Rhinolophus ferrumequinum: one gene and its partners. The protein of the gene in region 1 interacts with the protein of each later gene in a pairwise test. Links are inferred from orthologs where the notes say so. Each region holds a gene or a part of one and is shown on either strand. Other genes may lie near its edges.

Region 1 (8,375 bases):
CATCTATCCATGGACACCTAGGTTGCTTCCATATCTTGGCTATTGTAAATAATGCCGCAATGAATATAGGTGTGTACAGACCTTTGCAAATTAGTGTTTTTGTGTTCTTTGGATAAATACCCAGAAGTGGAACTGCTGGGTCAGATGGTATAACTATTTTTAGCTTTTTTGAGGAACCTCCATACTGTTTTTCATAGAGGCTGTACCAGTTCGCAGGCCCACCAACAGTGCACAAGGGTTCCCTTTTCTCCACAGCCTTGCCAACACATTTGCTTTTTGACTTTTTGATAATAGCCATTCTGACTAGTGTGAGGTGGTATCTTGTTGTGGTTTTCATTTGCATTTTTCTGATGATTAGTGATGTTGAGCACCTTTTCATGTCTGTTGGCTATCTGTATGTCTTCTTTGGAGGAGGTAGCATGGTCCCTGATCTCAGACTATACTACAACACTATAATAATAAAAACAGTACTGGACTGGCACAAAAACGGACACATAGATCAATGGAATAGAAAGAGAGCCCAGAAATAAACCCTTGCTTATATGGTCACTAATCTATGACAGAAGAGGTAAAAATATACACTGGAGTAACAACAATCTCTTCAACAAGTCGTGTTGGGAAACTGGATAGATACAAGAACATGCAAAAAAATGAAAGTGGACCACTGTCTTATACCATATACAAAAATAAACTCAAAATGGGTCTAAAGACTTAAATGTAAGGCCTGAAGCCATAAAACTTCTAAAAAAAAACACACACACAGGAAATAAGCATCATTCTGAGTAATACTTTTTTGGATATGTCCCCTTGAGCAAGGTAAACAAATGCAAAAGCAAACAAATGAGACCAAGTCAAATTAAAAAGCTTCTGTGCAGTGAAAGACACCTCAACAAAACCAAACGGCAGCCCATTGGATGTGGGACTATATTCACAAATGATATATCCAATAAGGGGATTATATCCAAAATATATAAGAAACACATACAACTCAATAACAAAAAAAATAAACAATCCAATCAAAAAATGGGCAGAGGACATAAATCTTTTTGATTAATTCATACTGACTTAGTTCAGATCACACACCACCAGGAATCTAATATTTTCGTTTCCTGTACCCCTCCTATTCACCATCCAAGGATCCCAACAGAGATTTAAGACCCGTCATCATTTCACTGGTGAGGAAACAAGAAGAGAAAAATTAAACAACACAGCTAAAGTCACTCAGTCAATCAGTGATAGAATAAGGAGCAACAGGACAACATGATACATTTATTAGATATAACATGGACTTTGAATTTAGAAGTTCTGACAATAACTTGAAGATATTACCCCCCATGCAATCCAATTTCCTTATCTTGAGTTGTTTCCCATCTTAAAAAAAAATTAAAAGGAATGAATGAATGAATGAAATATACCAGGTGAATATCTTCCAAATATTTGATGGGTTCAATTTTTTTTTTTAAATGAAATTATGTATGAAATTCCCGCATATAAAACAAGCAAAATCAGAGATTCTCTGGTTGTATCAATACTGGGGCAATCTAAAGACTTTCTTGTTTGGTCTGTCGTGCTTCACCTTTGGCTATAATTTTTCTTCCTATAAAAGAAAATGCTGAGTTTAAGTTTAATGCACAAAAAAATAAATAAATAAAACATAGTCAACATATTCAACCAAAATATGGATGGCCCATGTAATAAAAAGCAAATGCAAAAGAGAAAGAAGAGTCACTGTGGTGGAAGAAAGAGAGACAATGGCACATATAACTTAAAACAAATATACAAACAAAAAAACAGCTCCCACTTAAAAATAATAACCACCATTCTTCATTTTCCCCTGTTCTTCTAAGGCAATTTAAAGATAAGTTGGTTGTGATTTGGGACTAGAACTTGGAATTACCTAGAGTTTATTTCTTAGTTCACAAGAAGCATAATTGTTTGTTTTCTTGTCTATTTCCCCCAGTAGATAGGACTATTGAGACACTGCCCAACACATTGGATACAGAATACCAACGGAAATAGAATGCTTGTCCTTTTGGAGTTCAAAAACCAAATCAGACAATAGAACTGGGTTATTTTATGTTATAATATATGAAGGTAGTTATACATGTATTGTACATATGGTATTACTTTTTAAGTACTTTCATTTATTTTTACACATTCATTTATATATCAACCCAACATATATTTATTGATAACCTACAATGAATCAGAAGTTAGTTTAGGTACATGGGATATATCAGTGACCAAGACAAGCGATATTCTTAACTCATGGAGCTTACAAACATGTGGATGGGAGACTAATCATAAACAGTTGAGATATACAAGTTCTGACAATTATGTTCGCAAACTCACCCTAGAAAAAGTTCTACATACCTCATTGCTGAATATCACTACGGTCACCTGCAAAATATTCCCCTTGGGAAACTATGCACCAATACCAGCGCCTAATCCACGCTTCAAAGCAATTTTGGAACTCTTTTTATGGAATGGCCATCAGAGCTGTCATCGTATTATCCTTGATGTCCTGAATGTCATCAAAATGTCTTCCTTTCAATATTTCTTTTACCTTCAGGTAAAGAAAGAAGTCATTGGGGGCCAGATCAGGTGAGTAGGGAGAGCGCTCCAATACAGTTATTTGTTTACTGGCTAAAAACTCCCTCACAGACAGTGCCGTGTGAGCTGGTGCATAGCTGTGATGCAAGAGCCATGAATTGTTGTCATTTTCATCTTTTTCACGCAGCTTTTTCAGCACTTCCAAATAGTAAACTTGGTTAACTGTTTGTCCAGTTGGTACAGATTAATAATGAATAATCCTTCTGATATCAAAAAGGTTAGCAACATCGTTTTGACTCTTGATTTGGACTGACGGAATTTTTGTGGTTGTGGAGAATTGGCTGACTTCCACTGCGCATTTTGACACTTTGCTTCAGGGTCATATTGATACACTAATATTTCATCACCAGTTATAACACAGCCCAACACATTGTCTTGCCTTTCCTAAAGGTCTTGGCAAACTTCGACTCTCCTTTGTTTTTGTTCATTGGTGAGCATCCTTCAGGATCATTTTGCACACGCATATCTCATGCCAAGATTTTCAGTTAAGATTTTTCTAGCTGTTTCTCTATCAATGTTTACTTGGTCTGCTGTGCTTTTCACAGTCTGCCGATGATTTTGATGCACAATTCAATGAATATTTGCAATGTTTTCATCAATTCTGCTCATTACTGTCCACCCTGGCCTCTCTTCATCAGTGACACGTTCTCTCCCCTCAGAAAAACATTTAATCCATTTGCACACTGCTTTTCTTCATGGCACTATCCCCATAAACTCAGACTAATATGTCCCTGATTTCACTTCCTTTCTTGCCAAGTTTAACAAGAAATTTAATGTTTGTCCGTTGCTCTAATTCAAGCGCAGACATTCTCATGATGGCACACAAAAACATGCAACAACAATAATGAAGGCGACTCAGCAAGACACCGCCACATGTCGGCACAAACACAGCTGTGAGACACTGATATAAGAAGGTTATGAAAATTTCTTCAAGGACCTGAGAGCCATCTCTTTGAATGCAAACAATCAGGGAGTTAGGGACATACCTCTTGCTCTCCCAGTTCCTGTGGGAGGATAAGAGGGTGTAACGTCAGTGGGAGCACCACCCAGTTTCAACACCACTGCCTCCTGTCATGAGGATAGTTTTTTTCTCTTCTGGATATGCATCAGTTAACAAATCCAGATGACGTCACATGAATTAATTCTCACCACCCCCCTTAAGGAGATTCAGTGCCTTTTCCTGAGCTCACCCAAGCCTTTAAAAAGTCTTCAGTCCTTTTTTTTTGGAGAAGTTGAGTTTAGTTCATGCTTGGTCCTCTTCTCTGTTGTAATAGCACTACTGAGGGACATCTGTCCTCATTGCTTCAATGTCAGATATCTCCTTCATTCTGTTCACTTTAGTCTTGTAAATGGGTCGGATACATCACTAGTTTCCAGCAAGGATAACTGTTTTCCATATCTCCTTAATTGGGGCATTACAATAGCAATTGGATGAGAGAGAGAGAAAAATCAAACATTTAACATAATATTTCAGTCCCAGAATTCTTCATAAGCAGTTACTAGCAATATAGGCGGACAGAATGGTGAAAGAGGCAGTTTCTGAAAAAAAAAAAGATCATGAATTGTGCAGAAACAGTAGATTTTGGTTTGATTCCTTCCTTCAATGTTTTTATTAGCTTCTTAAAAGTGAGCAAGGGACTAAAATTTCTGTGTCTTATCTTCGTCATTTAAAAGAAGGACAAATAATACCTACCACAAGGACTTGTTGGAAAATTAAGATTGAATGAAAAAAACATGTGCACAGGGTAGTACCTACCTCATGGTAATTGTTTAATAAATAATTACTACTTTTTATTATTAATCTCTAACAAATCCCAGAAAAGCTTTGTTTCCTCTCTGTGTCGTTACAGCAATGTCCCTCTTTATGGCATCCTTCATATATCCATCTGTGGATTTACTCTATGAAACAATGAGCTCCTTCACAGGTATCATTTTTTCTTGTATCCCCAGCTCCTGCCAATTGAAAAGACGGGCATTTGACAAATGTTTAGTGAATGACTGAATACATGAATAAATGAAGGAATGTGTAGTTATAGTGAAGTAATGGTAAACTTAAGGTACCAAAATTTTTTTTACATTTGTATAGGCCAAGTCAATTAATGATGTCAAATTCAGTTGTAAAAATAATGAAAACAGCATAAGATGTCAATCTTTTCATATTTCTTTTATTTGGTCTGAAACAAAGCCCAACCTGTTATGAGACCTTATAATTTCCTTAAGAGTCATCAGTCTCAGAAACAGGATCTAAAGGTACAAATGGGAACTTAACACAGCATCGTCTCCATTTCCTGCTTTTGGATAACTGGTAGGACTACTTAAGCTCAAGTTGTTAAAGCTCAGTAAAGGCCTATCCCACGTGATTTGACTCATAGATCCTCTTTTGTTCACAAGGAGTTGTCTTGGAAGAGAGGAAAGAGCTCTCAAATGCTCTGTCAATTCAGGAACGCAATAGAACAATGGAATATCACCCTGACTTAGAAAATTTGGATGAAGATGGATATACTAAATTAGACTTCAGCTCTCGAAATGTCCCCAGGAGACCTGTGTTCTCAGAGAAAGGTATTTTTTCTTTATGCCTTCAACATTTTCATTCTCATCAACTAAAAACTTAAGTGGAGAAAACTTGAGAGGCTTGTGATTTGTGGGGATTTTATTACTACATTTTAAAAGTTTTTCAGAAGTCACTGAAGATAATTTGAATGTGCACTAAGACATTTTTCATGGCAACCATTCAGTGGCTAATTAATAGTGTTTAAATTAATTATGATGATGACAGAAAATACAATGTGTCTGTTCCATAGAAATAGAAACTTCTGTAGTGAGGAGTTGGTAATACGTATGACGAATTGCAAAGATGAAAGAATTTCAATAGGAGTGGCTTATTGCTTGTTTGATAGAAAGGTCTAAATTGTAGAATGGAAGTTCAGGAAACTTAAAGAAGTATATTAACAATATCAGGATACTGGAGATGAGAAAGAGAAGAATGAAAAGAAGAAAGATAGGTGAGGGAAAAAAACAAACTTGTGATTTTGTGGTAAAGGCCAAAGGGAAGTCAGAAGTCATAGGATTTATAATCCCAAATTTGATATGTGTACTGTGGTAAGAGCTTGATTTGGATTTTTTTAAACAAAAAGCAATTCTTCATATACCAGTGAATAAAAATATATGTTATAGATGAAAAGAATTTATTAGCAGGACATGAGTCTTAAACAAAACGTAAAAATGATATATGGAGAATAGTGTTAAAAGATTTCTCTCCTCATAAAATGAGCCATTTAGTCTCCTTTATGATTCTCCTATTTGACAACTCTGAAATGTTGTTACTGCTTATTCTCAGTCAAAGGCAAAACTATGTTCTTGGTGGTGATGTTAACATAAATTAGACCCCTGTTATCAAGAGAGATTATTCATAGGTTTTGACATCAGTTTGCTCTCTTCTGCTTTCTGGTAGTTCACATTGCACAATTATTTTTCTCTCACCACTTACGCAATACTTTTCTTGGGTAACCTTTTGGGGGAGAGTGGAAAAATTGGATAATGCAAAAGGTAGGGAGGCGTGCATGTGTTTATGCATAGGTGTGGACAAACCTGTAATGTGCTAGTCATCTCTGAACTGGGTGCTTTTACATGTGTTATCTCATTTAATTCCCACAATAATCCTTTGAAGTATTATTACCCCAATATTGTACAAAGAGAAATGGAAAAACAGAAGAAGTAATTTGCCCAAGATCATGCAACAAATAAGTAAAAAGGGAAGATTACCCTTAGTCATCAGTGTTATTTCCCCTGTATTTCTGCTGTATCTTCCAAGAATGAGTGGGATTTCATGAATCCTGGTGGTGTGAGTTGTAGAGCCATCAATGTGGAACTGAAATCAGGAGTGCATAGTTATCAACTCACTGAAATCAGGAGTGCATAGTTATCAACTCACTCAAATTACATTTCCAGAACCTGAAGACGAATGCTGAAGTTGGGGGAAAATTCAGACTAATTCTGGATAACTGGAGTATCTGGTTATCAGTGATTAATGGTTCACTTCAGAATTTGCCAGATTTTAATGAATTATAGAATTTAAGTACTCCACAATCCATTGTCTTATTTCTTCATTCAATTTCTGCTCTGTCTGGTCTTCAGGATATTGTGGGATATCTCACTGGCGTTCCATTGCTGTGATTTTGGGAATCCTATGCTTGATAATACTGGTGATAGCTGTGGTCCTGGGTGCCACGGGTGAGTATTGCTGGGGAAGATTAACAAGAAACATTTAATAAGCATTTATAATATAGTAGACAATTTTTTAAAAGCTTGGCATGCATAATCTAATTTAATCTGTATATTAACCCTATTGAATTGGTGTTATTAATTTCCAGTTTATTAATAAGGGAAGTGAGAGCCTGGGAATTTATTTTACTTTTCCAGGATCATAAACTAGTTAGTGGTAAGACCACAATTAGAAATTTAGGACATCTGTCTGAAAAATTCAGACTTTTAAGTACATTGCTCTATTACCATCCTTGAATGGCTGATTTCAAAGCTGTAGAATTCCCAGGATAAATTAATGGAAGAAAACTAGTAAAGGTTAAGATGGAAGTATATTTTGGTGCTAGCTTCCTAATAAAACAAATGCCCTAAAGAGACTATAAGCTATTTTTATGAATCTCATGATTTAAGGAAACTATTTTAAACCTCATCTTTAATCTAAACTCCTTTGGATTATACCAGTTACTTACCTGAGGCACTTACTAAATACTAAGTACATATTTTGTGATTAATGAATGACTTTCCTTAGATTTTATATCTCAAGCATTCTATTGTCAATAAAGTATTATTGTGCTCTCAGGGAGTCTTTATTAGATTCCTTAATTATTCAAATGTTTATTGGGTACAGTCTATGTTATAAGTACTGGACAGGTTTTCAAGGAGCTCTCATTTTTAAAACACAGAGAAAGGTAGAAAATTTACTATAATTTCAAATCTATCATGGCTCCAATTAACTCTATTCTATCTGTCACTTGCTTTCTCCTTAATACTTATTCTCCTTCTCAACCTGCTTCATTTTTCTCTTTTTTACTATACCGTCCATGTGGAAGTTATTTTTTTCTATCTATTTAATCTATCTATCATCTGTCTATCTATCTATCTATCTATCTATCTATCTATCTATCTATCTATCTATCTACCTACCATCTATATATATATATATATATATATCTGTCATGCGGGGTATCACGTGGGGTCTCAGCTCCCGCTCAGGTGCTACCTGAGCCAGCACCTTTCCACATGAGGCCGAGAGCCTGGAAACTGCACCCCTGGCTTTGTCCCCACACTGTCCATCTATCTATCATCTCTCTGTCTTTACCCCTCCATCAGCAGTGTATTACCTATTAATCATTAATCAAGAATGCATCTCTTTATATTACAACAAAAATATGGGTTTGGGGATTTTAATTTTCAAACATAGTAAAATGATTTTTTGTTGTTGTTGTCATTATTGTTGTTGGTGGCATGTGAAGGTATGTGGAGATCCAATTCAGGAAGCAACTCATTGAAGAATGACAATTTTCCGTCAAGGAATAAAGAGAACCACAGTCAATCCACACAATCATCTTTAGAACAGAGTGTGGCTCCTACCAAGGCTCTCAAAACCACAGGCAAGGGCAGAGTTAAATGATTAATGGAATTCTGGATTCAGAAGAGTTAATTATTGGTGTTCCAGCCTAGAGCGGGGGTGGGGGGTGGGTGAAGAGAGCACTTTTACATGA
Region 2 (8,082 bases), on another chromosome or scaffold:
GTGGTACGGGGGGAGGAGTGGCTGGTGGCATTTAGTGGGTGTGCTAGACACCCCACAGTACTCGGGACAGCCCACCACAATAACTACCCCACCCAAAACATCGACAGTGCCAAGGACGAGGGACCCTGCGACACGGGAAGTGGACTCTCCCAGGGGAAAAAGCACAGGCAGCAAATCTAGGGTTTGAGCCCTGGCCGTGCCTCCCTAACTCTGTAACTTGGGGCAAATTACTCTTTAAGCCTTAGTTACCACACCCACAGCAATGGAGATAATAGTATATGCAGTTACTGCAGAGGCTGTCGTGAGGATTAAATAAAATAACCTATATACAACATTGGTATATGGCAGGCAGTCAACAAGGAAAGGAATGAATGAATGATTACGGAAGGGCTTCTTATCTCTGACATAAAGGAGTGCCATTCCTAGCATGGAGTTCTGCTTTGGAATAGTGGGTATGGGAAAGCGGGGTGGGGATTCCTGAGCTGCTTCATCATAAGGGCTCCTGGATTCTGCTGAACGAACTATTTGCTTAGTACAGAGTGTAGGCTCTGGCTCTAATTCTCACCAGCTATGTGGTCCAGGGCAAAATAGCTATCTGACTTCCTTATGCCTCAGTTCTTCCATCTATAAAATGGGAATAACATTATCACCTATTTTGTGGGGATTAAAGTGGCTAATGCAGAAAGCACTCATGACAGTGGTCCATACATAGCAAGTGCCCAGTAAGTCTGACCTTCACCCTTCTTGTTATAAGGCTGCGGAGGAGACACCAGACGCTAAGTGAAAAGGCCAAGGAAATTCGGTGGATGGCTAAGACGTTCCAGAGGGAGGTGTCATCTCTGGAAGGGTAAAACCCAGAAGGTGACAGACAGCAGCTGTGACAACAGGGGAATCAGGCACAGCTCTGGACACAAAAGCAACCGGTACTCAGGGAGTGATAATTCTGAGAACAGTCCGGATCGTTCCAGAAGACTGAAACGTGCTGCTGGACTGAGGAAAGTGGGCCATAGCAGGCGGGCGCCCTGTGGGGGCTCAGGGCGTACAGTACTAAAAGCTGCCCTATACAGGGCAGAATGACAGTGAGTGAGATGGTAATCAGGCCTTGTCACAAGCAGTCCTGAGAGCTCAGCCTTTCTCCAACCACGCTGGGCTGCCCAGAGGTGGGAGCCAAGCCCTGTAGCCAGCCTGACCCTGGATGCCAGGGGCACAGGCAGTCGTCAGGGATTTACTCTATGCCAGCTTAGTCCCCAGGGCAGGGCTTTTAACTTCAGTGCCCTAGACAGATGTGGGCGGGTGTGTGTGTGTGTTTATGGACAGGCTCTAGAGTGCTCCCTCCATTCTAAAGGTTAATAACCACTACGCTGGGAAGTTCTAACTGAAAATTCTTAAACCTGCGAGGACGCAGCACTGTTTGCTCCATTCCCCATCAGACCATAAGCTCCTCCACTCGACTGTAATTTCCTGTAGAACAAAACCCACAAAAACTGTCTTGTGTCTCATTCACTACTGTACTCCCAGGCCTAGAACAGTGTCAAAAAAGAAAAATGTTTTTAAAAACTAGTTCGTTGGCCTAATTAATTGGTGCTTGTGTCCCTTTCAGCATCCTTTCTCCAGCTGCCTGCCTTCTGAGGGGCTGAAAACGTTTCAGAATTTCATTTCTGTAAGCCGTTAGATTGTGAGAAAGTCCCAAATTTACTGAAGCTCACAGTGACAATTCCAGTCTCACAACACACACTTATGTGGGGCAGAGAAACAAGACCTCCCTCCCCCAGTTCCTTCTCCACCCACCCTTGCTACAATAAATTATAAAAACAGAGACCCGCCGCCTCCAGTTCCCACGCTGCTCAAAGCTGACAACACACGACTGCAGGCAGACTTCCACGAGCACACAGGTCAGCCACACATCGGCTTAAGCCAATCAGTCCTGTGCAGGTAGTGGCTTGAGAAAATACTAGATTTGAGAATGATCGGGATGACCAGAGCCTTTACCAAAGCTGGAGACAAGTAAGGCGTCTTGCAGACACTGCCCACGCTCTGTCTGACAGGCAGCTCTGACACACGTGCCACCTGGGGGCAGCCCACAGTGGGAGCCCAGGGGCTGCGGGACTGGATCACTTTTCTATTTTGGGAGCAGCCCACGCTCCCCTCTGTCTCCGAAGCCGAGCAGGCAGGATGCCCACTCAGGAGGAAAAGACAACATGCTCTTGACTCTTTCACTGCCAAGACAGGGCCCAGGGCTCCGAAGGTCCATCTCTCGTGCAAACCCTTCTATTCAACAGAGCCTGAGCCAAAGGAAAACCGCAATCCCTACTCCCTACCAGAAAGGAGAAAACCCAACTGGAGTCTCTATGCTTCATTCTATGTCCATCCAGTTCTAGAGCCCAGGTTCCAGCTGCCGAACACAAAATATCCTTGACCCAGGGTGGGAAGAACTCATCCTGGCCGGTTCCCAACACAGGACTGAAGGGCTACAGACGCCGCGGAGCGTGAGAGGCACTGCGGAAATCAGAAACCAAGACTGGAGGTTGCCTGGCAAAGGACTGGAGTCATGAGGCTGGGGCGCCGGCAGGAGTCAGGAGTCCCCAGGTGCCCTGAAACGGGCTCCCGTGAACCAAGGACACTGGACTCCAAGTCCTTCTGGGCCCTTTCAGTCCAACAGTCTTCCAGCCTCTTTCCTTTCATTCAGAATCCCAAAAATGTGAGCCATAAGGGACCTCAGGACGTATCACATCCAAATTTCTCCTTTTAAGGACGAGGACGCTCAGGCCCAAGGTCACACCGTGAGACGCGGCAAGGCGAGGACCTAACCTGGCTCTCCCGATTTCGGTCCTGCGGGGTTCTCAGGGCTCATCCCTTCCGGGTTCTCCTCCATCTCGGACTCCACCCTCACCTCCCCCACCCCTGCAGCCCTCAAGTCCCCCCCACCTTTGCTGACCCCAAAACCGCAAAGCTCGGTGCCCGCCCCAAGTTCACCGCTGTGGGGATCCCTCCCTCCACGTGCTTCCTTCCCAACCTCCCACCCACCCAACCTCTTCTTTCAGCTCCGTCCCGGGTTAGGGGGCCCCCCACCCGCTCCCTCCAAAACTGCACCCTCCTCCCTCGCCCGCGCCCCAGCCCGGCGCCCGGGCCCCGCCCGCCTGGAGGCCCCGCCCCTCGCTGTCCCCCCACTTCCCTCCGCGACTGCACTCACGCCCCGGCCCCTCTCACCGGTAAAGCCGCTTGGTGTGGAGGACCTTTGCTTCGGGCTCGCTGCTCTCCCCTGGGGGGGGGCCTTGGCTCATGGTGCCCGGGCCCGGGGGCGGCTTCCGGTCACAGGCCCCCGCCACCCACCGCTACCTCCACCACTGCCGTCTCCGGCCGTAGCCGCAGCCGCCACCGCTGCCGGCCCTGCTCGGCCGCCATCGCTGAGGCGGCTGCCCGCGACTCCTCCTCCGCCTGCCAAATCTCGCGATAGCAGCTGCACAGCTGCGGGCCAGTGGCCGGCGGCTACCAAATCTCGCGAAACTCGTTTTCCCTCCCGGGAAGTTGCCAGAACTAACTCTGGGCAGCATGGCCTCTTTCCGGCTTCTTCAAGCCCTTGCGAAAAACTTTATTGACAAAGCTGCTCGAGAACGGACAGTGGACCCAGCCAGAAGGGGGAAGCTAAGCTCAGTGGGGCAAATGGGCTCACGCTAGAGCTGGGAGCGGATTTTGCGTTGTCCTACGGTGGTCATTTATAATCCACCCTTCTGCCCCTTCACCTCCCCTCACTCCATTTGAGTCGAGTCTCTTTCAGATTATGGTCAGAATTTTTTAGGAAAAAAATGTCACAAAGCTCAAATGCCTTTAGTGGTGAGGTCCCACAGGAACGAGAAGTCCCTCTCTCACTCATGTTTCTGCCCCCGGGTCGACCCATTGAAAAGATCACCTTGGATTCCTATTGCTCTCTTGACCTTAAACCTAAGGTAAAAAGCAAGGTATTTGGGGGTGGGGGACTGTGTACGCGTTGAAATGGGAACATAAATACCCCCTCCGCCACTGTGCCGCTGGTTCCAGCCACCGCCCTTCTTTCTGTTCCTGAAACTGCCAGTCTTTCTCACTCATTGGCCTTTCACTTGCTGTTCCACTGCCTGCAACACTCCCACTCCTCATTTCCCTTCAGGTCTCAGCTCAAAAGGCACCTTGGCAGAAAGGTTTTCCCTGTTGAAATTGTCTCATTTATTGAGTCGCTAGGCTTCTTTATTATCTGTGACCCCAAGAGAACGGGCTCCGCAAGGGCCGAGCCTTTGCCTGTTATCTTGTTGTCTCTGGAGTCTGTGCCTAGAACAGTGCCTGGCTAATAACAGGTGCTCAGTAAATGTGAATAAATAAGTGTAGAAATTCCATCTCTTTTCTGGGTATTCCAACCTACTCCAAGCACCCTGTGATGCACAAACCCCATGGTCCCCCTCTGTTTTCGTGAGCCAGGAGCCCTTACACATGCCATTTGCCTAGAACACACGCTTACTTCTATGCCCAGCTGCACCCCCACTTTCAGAAAGGATGACAGGCGACCTCTAAGGCTTTTTCTGTCGGCAGATTCAGCAGGGCGGGGCCTGCCCCTTTAAGCTGGGCCCCACCTGCTCCGGTCAGACTGGTTTGGAAACACAGGTAAAGGGAGGGAGACCAGAGGGTTACTTGCAGAGCCAGCAGGGAGCTGGGCAGCTCCTTCCCAGACACTGTGGGGACTGGGGACCCTGCGTCTCTCTCCAGATGGAAAGTAAGAGGGTGTCATGGGCCAAAATGGCAAGGGGTAGGAAGCCATTGTGGAGGTGGAGGGAGGGGCTGAGCCCCATCAAGAAGCAGAGAGACGGAGAACGGAGGGGACGGCAGGGAGGGGAGAGACCGGCGAGGAGGCATGGGGAACAGCCATGGTAGGACCTAGAAGTCAGAATGGACAGACGCAGGCCCTCTGCAGATGGATGAGGTGGGCTAGTGAGGAGTTTGGCAACTGCCCATGTCCCCAGACTAGAGACGAAAGAACAGGGTGCACTGCTATGCCAGTTCCCTGGGACAGATTTGTTGGCAAATCACTGGGATCAGTTACCAGGAGGGTTCCAAGCAGGGATCTGCAGGGAAGGCGAGGTTTGAAGGTGAAGGGGCAGCTTCTCTGTCCGCAAGGAGGTCCTTAGTGGGAAGGCAGCTCTTGGCAAAATTCTAGGCACCTCCTGTCCCTCCCTTTCCTGCATGAAGGTGGCCATGACCCCAGGGGTTTTGGTGGAGGGGAGCAGAAGGCGTGGGTGGGGACTGGCTGAGGCCACAACTGCCAAGACCTATGCCCCCTGACTCACCCGCTCCTGCTGGCTGGCGTTTGATGTCAGAAGGGTGCCTCCATTTCAGCTGCTCACGTCTCTCCTTCCTCACTCTGTTTCAACACCTTCCTGCATGCCATGTTCTCCCCAAGGTCCCAGAAGGGGAGTGCCAACTGCCCTGGAGAGTTCGGTTCTGTCAACCCATCCTAAGGGCCAGAGGACGGAACTTCTGACAGAGCTTTCCTGTTAATCTCTAGGGTGACATGACCTCACGGTAGACCCCAGAACTGAGGTCCCAGGATGACAGAGCCCGAACACCTGGCCCTGCTGGAAGTGAAGGGGCCAGAGGCCCAGGAGAAGAGCTCACCCCAAGCCTTGGTCCCCAATGGCCGGCAGCCAGAAGGGGAAAGTGGGGCCGAGTCCCCCAGCGCTGAGCCCTCCAGCGTGGGATCTTCAGCTGGGTCTCCCACAGCTGGAGAGGGGACAAAGGATGGTCTGGACAGCACAGTGAGCGAGGCTGCCACCTTGCCCTGGGGGACTGGCCCCCAGGCCACTGCCCCATTCCCGGACCCCCCCGGCTGGCGGGACATGGGGCCTGAGCTCCTGGAGTCGGAGCCGCCTGGCAAACCAGAGGAGCTGTGTGACGATGACGTGGACCTGCTGCCCGAGAAGGCGCCACGGGCCTTTGTGCCCATCGACCTGCAGTGCATCGAGCGGCGGCCCCAGGAGGACCTTGCTGTGCGCTGTGAGGCCGGTGAGGCAGAGCGCCGCCGGACCTTCCTGCCCACCCGAGCCACCCCTCCTGAGCCCTCAGAGCGCAAGTGGGCCGAGGCCGTGGTGAGGCCACCCGGCCGCTCCTGTGGGGGCTGCGGGGGCCACGAGGGGCTGAGGGCTGTGGCCTCCGTGGCAGCCGCCCTGGTCCTCTTCCCCTGCCTGCTGTACGGGGCGTACGCCTTCCTGCCCTTCGATGCCCCTCGGCTGCCCACCATGAGTTCCCGCCTCGTCTACACGCTGCGCTGCGGGGTCTTCGCCACCTTCCCCATCGTGCTGGGTGAGCCTGGGCCCTGTGAGAAGGAAGGGGCATCTGGGAGCTGGACTCGAGGGCAGGGCCTGCCTGGCTGGGGAGCAGAAGTTTCCCTTTACTGAGGCTGGACCCTCGGGGCCTTGCGCGCTCTGCCACCCTGTGTGCCTGCCCCTCCCAGGACCCCAAGCCCCACTGTGGAGACCCATGCCCATGAGCTCTCCACCATGCGCCCTGCCCCCGCTTCCTGCCTCGTGCTCTCTGACCCTGCATCTCCATCCCTGCCAGGCCTCCTTGTGTACGGGCTGAGTCTGCTGTGCTTTTCCGCCCTGCGGCCCTTTGGGGAGCCCCGGCGGGAGGTAGAGATCCACCGGCAGTACGTGGCCCAGTCGGTCCAGCTCTTCATCCTCTACTTCTTCAACCTGGCCGTGCTTTCCACCTACCTGCCCCAAGACACCCTCAAACTGCTCCCTCTGCTCACTGGCCTCTTCGCCATCTCCCGGTGAGCTGCGGCTGGGGGTGGGGCACAGGGGAGGTAATGGCGCTAGAGGGACCCAGGTGAGTGAATGTGCAGAGAGCCCGGGTCGCGGGGTCCGGGAGCTGTCTGGATCCTGCGCTGGCCCAAATGTGCGCCCTGGAAAGGTGAGTCCACTTTCTCCCTTGCACCTTACCTCACCTGGTAGCAGGTGATCAGCTCAAACGTCTTCCCACAGGAAGCCGATTTCGGAGACTCATATACCATCTAGAACTGGAAGGGCTTCCAGGTGTCATTGCAGCCACCCACCGGTGACACTCTGGTCAGGTAGCCGTTGGCCTCTAGTTGGACACCCCCTGTGACCAAGGGCTCAGTTCTTTATCTGGCAGTCTGTTTCGTTTTTCAAAGGTCCTCGTTATTAGGAAGTTCTTTGTGTTGTGCTAAAGACTGCTGCCCTGACCCTGATCTCTGGAATTGCCTAGGACAAATTCGGATATTTGACAACAGCTCTGTTCCCCTACTCCAGCACCCTGCTCCCCGTGTTTACTTTGCTAAGTGGCCCTGACCCCTTCACCGTCTTTCTCTATGGGCAGGAAATTCTCCTGCTGGTCAAATGGGGTGAGGGTGGGGGGCTGGTGAAAGGTATTGGTCTTCGGCTCATACAAACCAAGGCCACGTTAGCTCTCACGGCAGCCTCATTACTCTCCTTTCATTTCGAATTTAGTCCCATGAAATCCTTAGGGGTGTTTCCATGGGAACTACTGTTAACCCAGAAGACACCTTTGAATTTCTGAAGCCAAATAAACACAGGTCTTTCCATTTTTGCCCCTAATACATTTCCTTTTGTCACTATCAATATACAATTCCCGGTAGCTTTAACTGCTAAGAAAGTCTTCCTATCGAGCTAACATTTGTCTTCCTGTTACTTTTGATTGTAGTCTAGTTGTCCTCTGTCCCCTCAGCCTCCTAACCATCACACAGTCCTGTATTTTCTCCCAGGAGATGTTTCCCGAGATAAATGTTCCTCCACCTTTTGTAACTCCACCTCCGTCTCTGGGAGTGCTGGTGTCAGGTAGAAGTTGGCTTAGGCGGTAAGACTCATCAGGGAGCTAAAGACTCAGCGACTGTCTGGTCCATCTGACCCATTTCCTGGAGAGGAAACCACGACAGACTGGGGGAATCTCAGGGCAGGACTAGAATCCAGGTCCCCTCCCTCCCTCATCCAAGGTGCTTTCTTCTCTACCACAGGCAAGTTCCTTAAGCATTTTGTGTCTCCATTTCATCATCTCTGAACTCGAGTTGTGAGGATTAAATGA
Region 3 (8,002 bases), on another chromosome or scaffold:
ACATAAATTAGCTTTGGGACTAATATCCAACAATTCTACAACTTTTCCACCTACAAGAAACACCCCTCAACAACTTCAAACATAGAGATGCATGGCAATTCAAACGGCATGAATTCGGAAGACACTTTTAAATGTTCACGTGTGCTGCATCCCCGGAGAGTACTAGAGCTAGATAAGAGTTCTAGGCCTCCTCTGAAACATGACCCGTAACCCAGAGCCTCAAGATACACAGGCCAAGCGATAAGAAAGTGTTCAAAAGCATTTGCCATACCTCACTTCACATCTTTAGAAACACAACGTACAGACAATCACGGGAAGGTGAATTCATATTGAACCACAAGGATAATTGCAACCATAAATGAAACAAGATAACCTGAAAGGCAAGCTGGTGACTTTCTCTCTGCTCCATGAGAGCACCAAGTAAACAACAAGTTAAGGGACACACTGGCACCAATGATTAATGGTCATGTAAACTTGGATGTACAGGAAAAGCTTTCTCAACAGGCCCTCAATGAACAGAAAACTTCAGAGGCCCACTGATGCATTGGTATTTTATTTTGTGCACTTTTATTTTGTCCGCTTCACTTTATTATTGCACGTCACAGATGTTGCATTTTTTACAAATTGAAGGCAAGAGACCCTCCACCAGCAAAAAGATTACAACGCACTTTAGTTTTTGTTTTTCTGTGGTGATCTGGAACCAAACCCACAATATCTCTGAGGTCTGCCTGTGTATTAATATAAACTTCATTCTGAAAGACAGACTAACGCTGTAGCTACTGGAATCAATGGCAAGCTGCTCAGAAAAGGGCCATCTGTTCTGCTTCTGCTTATGTTAGAGCTACCCCAGGCTTTTAAGAAGCACAGGGAAAAGTCAGAGAGGAGATGGGGTGGTGGGGGTGCACAGAGCAGGCAAACCAGTCCTCTGCTGCCTTGGGAACGTGCCTGGGTCATAAGACATACAGGCACTTCAAACACAATTTAACTCTGTTTCTCCTTTTATATTTTTTCTGATAAGCAATAATATGTGCCATATACACAATTTTTACAAAACACAAAAATACTTAGAAGAAAAACCTGTAATTCTACCCCCTAATCACTGTCTACATTTTTAAATGTTTCCTTCATCTTTTTCATGTGCATTTGCATTTTCTACAGGGCAGATATCAGTTAACTCTTAATTAACCAGAAGATCATCCAGCACCCCAGCATACTACCAGTATGGCTGCCACTGGTCTAAGCATTGTTCAATATACCACTGTCATTTAATAGCTGGACCCTCTAAAAAAAAGAGACACTTCACTTATACTGAAAAATAAACATAGCTCGGTTTCATTACACTCATACCTATCTCTATATTCTTATTCTTTCACCATAAGCAGCCCTTAATCAGTGGAATTAGTTTTCTTAACTCAAATATACCAAAATGAGGTCTGAAATAAAACTTGCTCTAAGAAAACAGAATGACCTTCAAAATGAACTATCTTTACAGACCTTGGTTGGTGTTTCCGTGTAAATACTGCTGTAACTTGAATCAATTTGCAGTTCCTATGACACAAACATTTACTGAGTGTCTACTACATGCCAGCCCCGTTACTGTGAGAGTACAAAGGAGATGAAACATGACCCCTGCCTTTTAAAGCCTCACCATCTAGAAGGGAGGACAGAGATACACAGAGATAACCGTAGTCTAGGAGAATGTGATCTGTGAAACAGAGGCACAAAGGAAAATGGAAGAAAGTCAGATTAATTCTGTACATAAACATTTATGGGGCTGGCCTGGTGGCTCAGGCGGTTAGAGCTCCATGCTCCTAACTCCGAAGGCTGCCGGTTCGATTCCCACATGGGCCAGTGGGCTCTCAACCACAAGGTTGCCAGTTCAATTCCTCGAGTCCCGCAAGGGATGGTGGGCTCTGCCCCCTGCAACTAAGATTGAACAGGGCACCTTGAACTGAGCTGCCGCTGAGCTCCTGGATGGCTCAGTTGGTTGGAGCGTGTCCTCTCAACCACAAGGTTGCCGGTTCAACTCCCACAAGGGATGGTGGGCTGTGCCCCCTGCAACTAGAAAACGGCAACTGGACCTGGAGCTGAGCTGAGCCCTCCACAACTAAGACGGAAAGGACAACAACTTGACTTGGAAAAAAGGCCTGGAAATACACACTGTTCCCCAATAAAGTCCTGTACCCCTTCCCCAATAAAATCTTTAAAAAAAAAAAAGAAAAAACATTTATGCCATTGACTTTTAAACTGATAAACATCTAAAAATGATACAATCTGGTAAGGACATTGATTTAATCTGGGGGAAAACAAAGGGCACTCAAGTACTTGTCAGTCAGCTGTCTGATTTAAATACACATGCTGCACTAAATCAAGAATCCTATTTTGATTAAATGAAGATGTAAGCATTTATTTTTTCTAACGGGAGTTCCCCTTGTAACCCATCTGTTTCCTGAATTCTACCAAAATGCGGCTCTTACTTACCTGTCACAGTGAGAGCTGCCTCTTGAACTACTCTGTCCTGATTCATGTTGTGCATCCAAGAGAATCTTCTCCATGTCTCCATTGTGGATGGAGGATGAGGAAGGGACGTGTTCCAGCCCCCCGTTTTTCCCGTTGCCATTATCATTGCCATTGGTGCTGTTCATGGGTAGCTCCACCCAGGAACCTGTTGGACAAGTCAGATAACTTACGTTAACCACAGCAGAACTGCAGTCTGTCATGTGCACACAGATGTGAATATGGGGAATTCAGATAAGTCTGACTCACCTAAACCAAATGCAGAAAGAATTCTGAAGAAAATAAGCAAAGAGCAATAAACATCTAAAAATCTATATAGTTCTGTCCCTGATGTAGCTCACATAAGCAACCAATTTAGAAGCTGGGACTCTAAAACTAGTATCTTAGAAAATGTATCTTTCAGTCAATTTTCTCTCTGGTTAAAGCTTAGTTTATATACAATAAACACTTCAGTAAAAGCTTTTAGGTCACTTTTTAAAAAATAAATCGCTATTTTATTTTTAGACAGGCTACTTACCTTCAATATTCTAGTTATATATGATTTTTTCATAGTCTACCCCAGCCATTTAGTTGTATCCTCTCCACAAATGAAATAAACATACGACTTAAAAACTTCATAAAAGTCATCTAAATAAATTAACAACTAAGTCATACTTAGCACAAACAACTGAGAAGCTCCTAGAGAGGGAACTTAAATACAATCAAAAAAATTTCAATTTGTGTACAAATCTGGAGCATAAAATTAACGCAGCCGGCTCTCAACTAAATCAGGTTGCTAAAAATTCTGAAAAAAGTTTTACCTCTATCCCACGAATTAGTTTCTTCCTTTTCTTTATACCTCACTCTTTCTCTACGCATTAAACATACCTTGTGAACTTGTCTTTTCTCTCTTCTCTCCCACGAGTTCCTACTTTCTAGGGTTTTCATTAAGCCTCATTAGTTTTGCGGGGCAGAAATGGCTGAGGATCTGCTACAGGCAACACTTAAGTTTTCTCAGGGGAACAAAGGGAGTGGAGCCACAGGAAAGGGGCGTGGCTCTGGTAATTTGGCTAGGTCTTGAAAATATTTATTGGTTCAATGAGTTTGCTGAACACATTCAGGTAGCTAATGTGTTGGTGGATAGAGGGTGAGAAGGGACATGTTGGCAGCCAATAAGCCAACCTTACAACAAAAAGAGACAGTAGTGTATGTTTTTTCTCATAATTTCCATTCTTTACAATAAAATTTGTTTTAGAAAGTACAGTCAAGCGGGTTGGTGGGGCCATTCCTCTAAACTCCCAGCAGAAGCATTAGAGAGAGTTTTGTGGCTGAACAGTCTTCTACCAGTAAATCAGAATAATCATGAAAACAGGTTCGAAACCCAAAGGCACTCTAAATGAGGTGATGACTATTCCAGATCCAGAAGTGAACTCAGCATCATCAGAAGGAAAAGCTCAAAGGCAAACCTGGTTGGAAATCTGACTCCACCCCTTACTATCTATCTGACTTTCTGACCCTGAGTTTCCTCATTTGTAAAACAGATTACATAGTACCTACCTTCCAGGGCTGCTATAAAGATTAAATATAGGAACATAGGTAAAGGACCTAGTAAACAGTAGATGCTGTTATATACTACTTAAAAGAGTTTTTATTTGTAAAGCACTTAAAACAGTGTTTGCTAAATAAAAATGAAGTTACCCTTTCCTTCCTTTCCCTCTAAGGCCGTCCCGGGGTTGTCACAATCCCTTAATCAGCACCGATTCTTTGGGACGATACTGTCAAAAAACAGTTGTATGACATCTCCGTGTTCTCGTTCTATATACACACAAAAATGGACACAGACTAGATAGAACTCAACATGGATCAACAAACTTAACTAACAAAGCTAAGACAGACCTAACACTGAACGTAATTTTACTAAATATTTGCAGTGCCTCTGGCGTGTATAAAACATATGCCAAACGCAGTCCTAAATTTAGGGCTCTGCAAAATATTTTAACTAGAAAGAGAGAGACACAGAAAGACAGCGGTATATGATAAACTTTTTTTCTACTGTTTCTAGAATTTTCAAACTTACTTTAAACCAATGGGACCTGTTCTTCTTGTACAAAAGCCCAATGTGTAAAATAAACAAAAACAAATAAAAAGCCTGCTTCTGCTCTGGCAGAAGCAGGACTGCATAAGCTATCAGGAGTTCTGGAGAGGTCTCTGTGGAAGCAAATCTTCCTCAAAATAAAATTAATGTTCACTTGTAGCTGACCAAAGAGAAAAAGGGGTGTAACAATAGCAGGTTTTCTAGACCTTACTTTTTTGAAGGATTTCTAAACCATTTCTACTTCCTGCAAAAAATATGTAAGGAATCATAACCTAGGAACTTGAGGAGACATACCTAGAAAAGCTTAGTGAAGTGATTTCTGCAATGGCCCTAACCCTCAGCCTAACTGAAGGCATTTCTACTTTAGGCAGACAATATTGTTTGTGCATATATTACTAGTATAGTGGTTAAGTGCACAGACGGAAGCCAGACTCCCATCCTATCACTTATACCTGTTACACCCTAGATCTCTCAGTTTTCTAATCTGTAAAGTAAGAATAATAACTGTATCTACTTCATAGTTAGGAGGATGAAATGAATAAAGCACATAAAAAAAATACAAAAGGTGCCTAGTACATGGTAAGTGCTATGTGTTAGCTAATGTTATAATTATACTCCTTTAAAAAAAATTATTTACAAAAATGTGTTCCTTGAAAATGCCAACATCAGTACATAAAGTAGAAATTAATACTTCTCCCAATCTCACATTCCTATACCAAAGGAAACCACTTTTAAAACTTTTACATGTAAACTTCTAGAGCTTTTACAAAAACATGGAATCATACTGTATATATCTTTCGGTAAGTAGCATTCCTTACCTAACAACTTGCAGATGTCTTTCAACATCAATATATATTGCCTTACTTCATTCTTTTAAACATTGCTTTGCTTCTCATCATAAAGCTATACCATACTTTAACCATTCTCCAAATGGCAATGGTTAACCATTAACGAAATTACTGTTTCTAATGTTATTAAAATCAAGGCTTCAGTGGAGGGTAACTTGGCAATATGTATTAGGAGCCTTAAAAAGGTAGATTTCCTTTAACTTAATAATTCTCTTCCAGAAATATCATCTATGGAAAAACAGTACTGCAGAGAAAATTATGTACACAGATATTCATTAAGAGGCTCCATATCAGCTTTATCTTTTGAGAAAAATGGGGGGGAAAGCAAACTTATCTTTCTCAATAGATGAACTACATGTGCCTTTTTTCCATCACCTAGTTTACTCCCTATTCACAGCCTCAGAATTTTTTAATGTTCTAATTCTACCAATCCTAAGTCCCTTCTTACTTGGAAAGGAAACATGGTCAGATATGATTGTGCTGTCCAAGCAATACAAAGTAGAAAACAATCTCAGAGTGAATTCTCTTTCTACCAATCAAGCTTTAAAATTAAAAAAAAAAAAAAAAAACATGCAGGCTCTATTATATTCAAAGCCTCCTTACAAACTGAAAACTGTTCTGTCATGCCGGATGGTACATATACACAGCACATGAGATATTTTCTAATACAAGTTTCTGAGACTCACTAAGAGATTCAGAGACCCATCCTTCCACTTTCTCCAACATAGTAGTACATGGCGAAGGTTGGTCCAGTGATTGTCATTATATTCATGACTATTGTTGTACACACTCTTCATAGTTTTATGGTCACCAGTTCAATCCTCTTTCAAGAAGGGGTGTGGGAAAGTTAGGGGTGGGGAGGGAGAGGGAAAGAAAAAGAGTACTAGTTCTCATTTTCCACAAGATGACAAGGCCCCACGTGTCACTCTAACCCTAACCGGGGTGACACATTTCATTATGTCTTATCTTCTTTCCCCAAAGCCTTTATTTATTTCAAATACCTAATGCTGGAATCCAGAACAGAAATAGTCACTGACATTCCTATTTAAAAAAAAAAAAAAAAAAGAATTGGTCTTTTTGCACAAGCAGGTACTCAAGACACCAGTTACTTATGTGTTAAAAATAGTATTATAAACAGTGAAGTTTCATGTGTCATAGCCTTAAAAGCCTTCCTGTCATACTGGGGGAGCAAGAACGTCATGGTAGATGTTTAAAAAGGAGAAAAAAGGCTGTGCTTCCCATGTTAAACAACAAGAGTTATACTGCTACCTTGATTTTCCTATTACCTTCTGATTTTTACGACCTATATGTCCTACACAAATATTCTTAAGTAACTTAATAGTTTTCTTAAGAGTAAAACTAACAATAGTTTTCTTAAAAGTAAAACTAGAAAATAACCTTTTAGCTTTGGAAATAATTCAGATCTGTGTGTTTACTAATTTGTAATCAAAGTGAATAGTTCCCCTACGATGGTAAACAAAAAAAGTCAGAGAAAGATTTCATTATTCCAAATATTTCAATAATTTGTTATTAACACTCTGCTTTGACCCTTGAACTAAAGATAAAATCCCAAGGCAGAGATAATCTCTACAATGAGTTCATCTCCTGTTTTTCACAGTTTTGCAAAAAGAAAAAGAACTTCAACTTATCAGCAATTTGGGTAGCACATGTTAGATGCCTGAATAAGCTGTTCTGCCCAAAAATCACTTGAAGGAATCAATAAGGCTTCTTGTTTTGTTCAGTTCAGTGTTGTATAATGAGCTAAAAAAAACAAAAAACAAAAAAAACAAACACAGTAAAAAGCAAGAGGGGAGTAATTAAATATGGCACTATCTAAAAGCTTTTCAGTAACTTAAAAGGTCACCCTACCCCAAATAAAATACTTTCTATCTAGCAGATTTCCCAAAGCAACATTTTGATATCACACACATGCTGAGTGTTCTTCCACTTCCGAAGAGCTAACATAAACGTAGCAGCAACTGCTTGGCCAAGAACATCACATACCTCACGGGTCTGTCAGACATGGAGATTAAACAATCACGTATAGCTCAACCCCATTGTTTTTTTTTTTGTTAAATGGTGAAAGGAAATTACAATTCCTTTGCTTTCTGTGAAATCATGTACACATATTAACCAAACAGCTAACTTATAAGTATCACAGGAACACAATGAGTACAATTAAAGAGACAGTGTACTAAAAAGAGATAGGCAGGTGACCTCTGTACATTACACTAGGTGGAGTAACATTCTGAGAGAATAAGAACCACACAATTGGGCCAACCTGGTGGCTCAGGTGGTTGGAGCACCGTGCTCCTAAAGCCGAGGTCACCGGTTCGATTCCCACATGAGCCAGTGAGCTGCGCCCTCTACAGCTAAGATTGTGAACAACAGCTCTCCCTGGAGCTGGGCTGCTGCGTGCTGCCAGGAGCGGCCGGCAGCCAGCCCAGCATGAGTGGCCGGCAGCCAGCGAGAGCTGCCGTGAGTGGCTGCTGTGAGTGGCCCAGCTGCCGCGAGCGGCGCACCGATGACCGGCAACCTACTGACTCAGCTGGGGGCAGCACAA

Evidence for each region.
Region 2: the proteins of CLEC7A (region 1) and TMEM79 interact in binary tests that used the Homo sapiens proteins (3 or more experiments, as listed by UniProt). The two-hybrid records come from large-scale screens. The link is inferred for Rhinolophus ferrumequinum from reciprocal best matches to the Homo sapiens genes CLEC7A and TMEM79.
Region 3: the proteins of CLEC7A (region 1) and BNIP3L interact in binary tests that used the Homo sapiens proteins (3 or more experiments, as listed by UniProt). The two-hybrid records come from large-scale screens. The link is inferred for Rhinolophus ferrumequinum from reciprocal best matches to the Homo sapiens genes CLEC7A and BNIP3L.

The regions. Positions count from the first base shown.
Region 1 is NC_046293.1:25,859,568-25,867,942, reverse strand, and holds the start of CLEC7A (C-type lectin domain family 7 member A), read left to right. Parts: upstream 1-4,975; 5' UTR 4,976-5,069; coding exon 5,070-5,172; intron 5,173-6,747; coding exon 6,748-6,843; intron 6,844-8,126; coding exon 8,127-8,264; intron 8,265-8,375.
Region 2 is NC_046305.1:816,073-824,154, forward strand, and holds the start of TMEM79 (transmembrane protein 79), read left to right. Parts: upstream 1-4,621; 5' UTR 4,622-4,738; intron 4,739-5,527; 5' UTR 5,528-5,570; coding exon 5,571-6,321; intron 6,322-6,579; coding exon 6,580-6,793; intron 6,794-8,082. Other genes in the region: nonsense-mediated mRNA decay factor SMG5, read right to left, coding at 3,208-3,281.
Region 3 is NC_046301.1:40,966,733-40,974,734, forward strand, and holds the start of BNIP3L (BCL2/adenovirus E1B 19 kDa protein-interacting protein 3-like), read right to left. Parts: upstream 3,462-8,002; 5' UTR 3,445-3,461; coding exon 3,318-3,444; intron 2,666-3,317; coding exon 2,482-2,665; intron 1-2,481.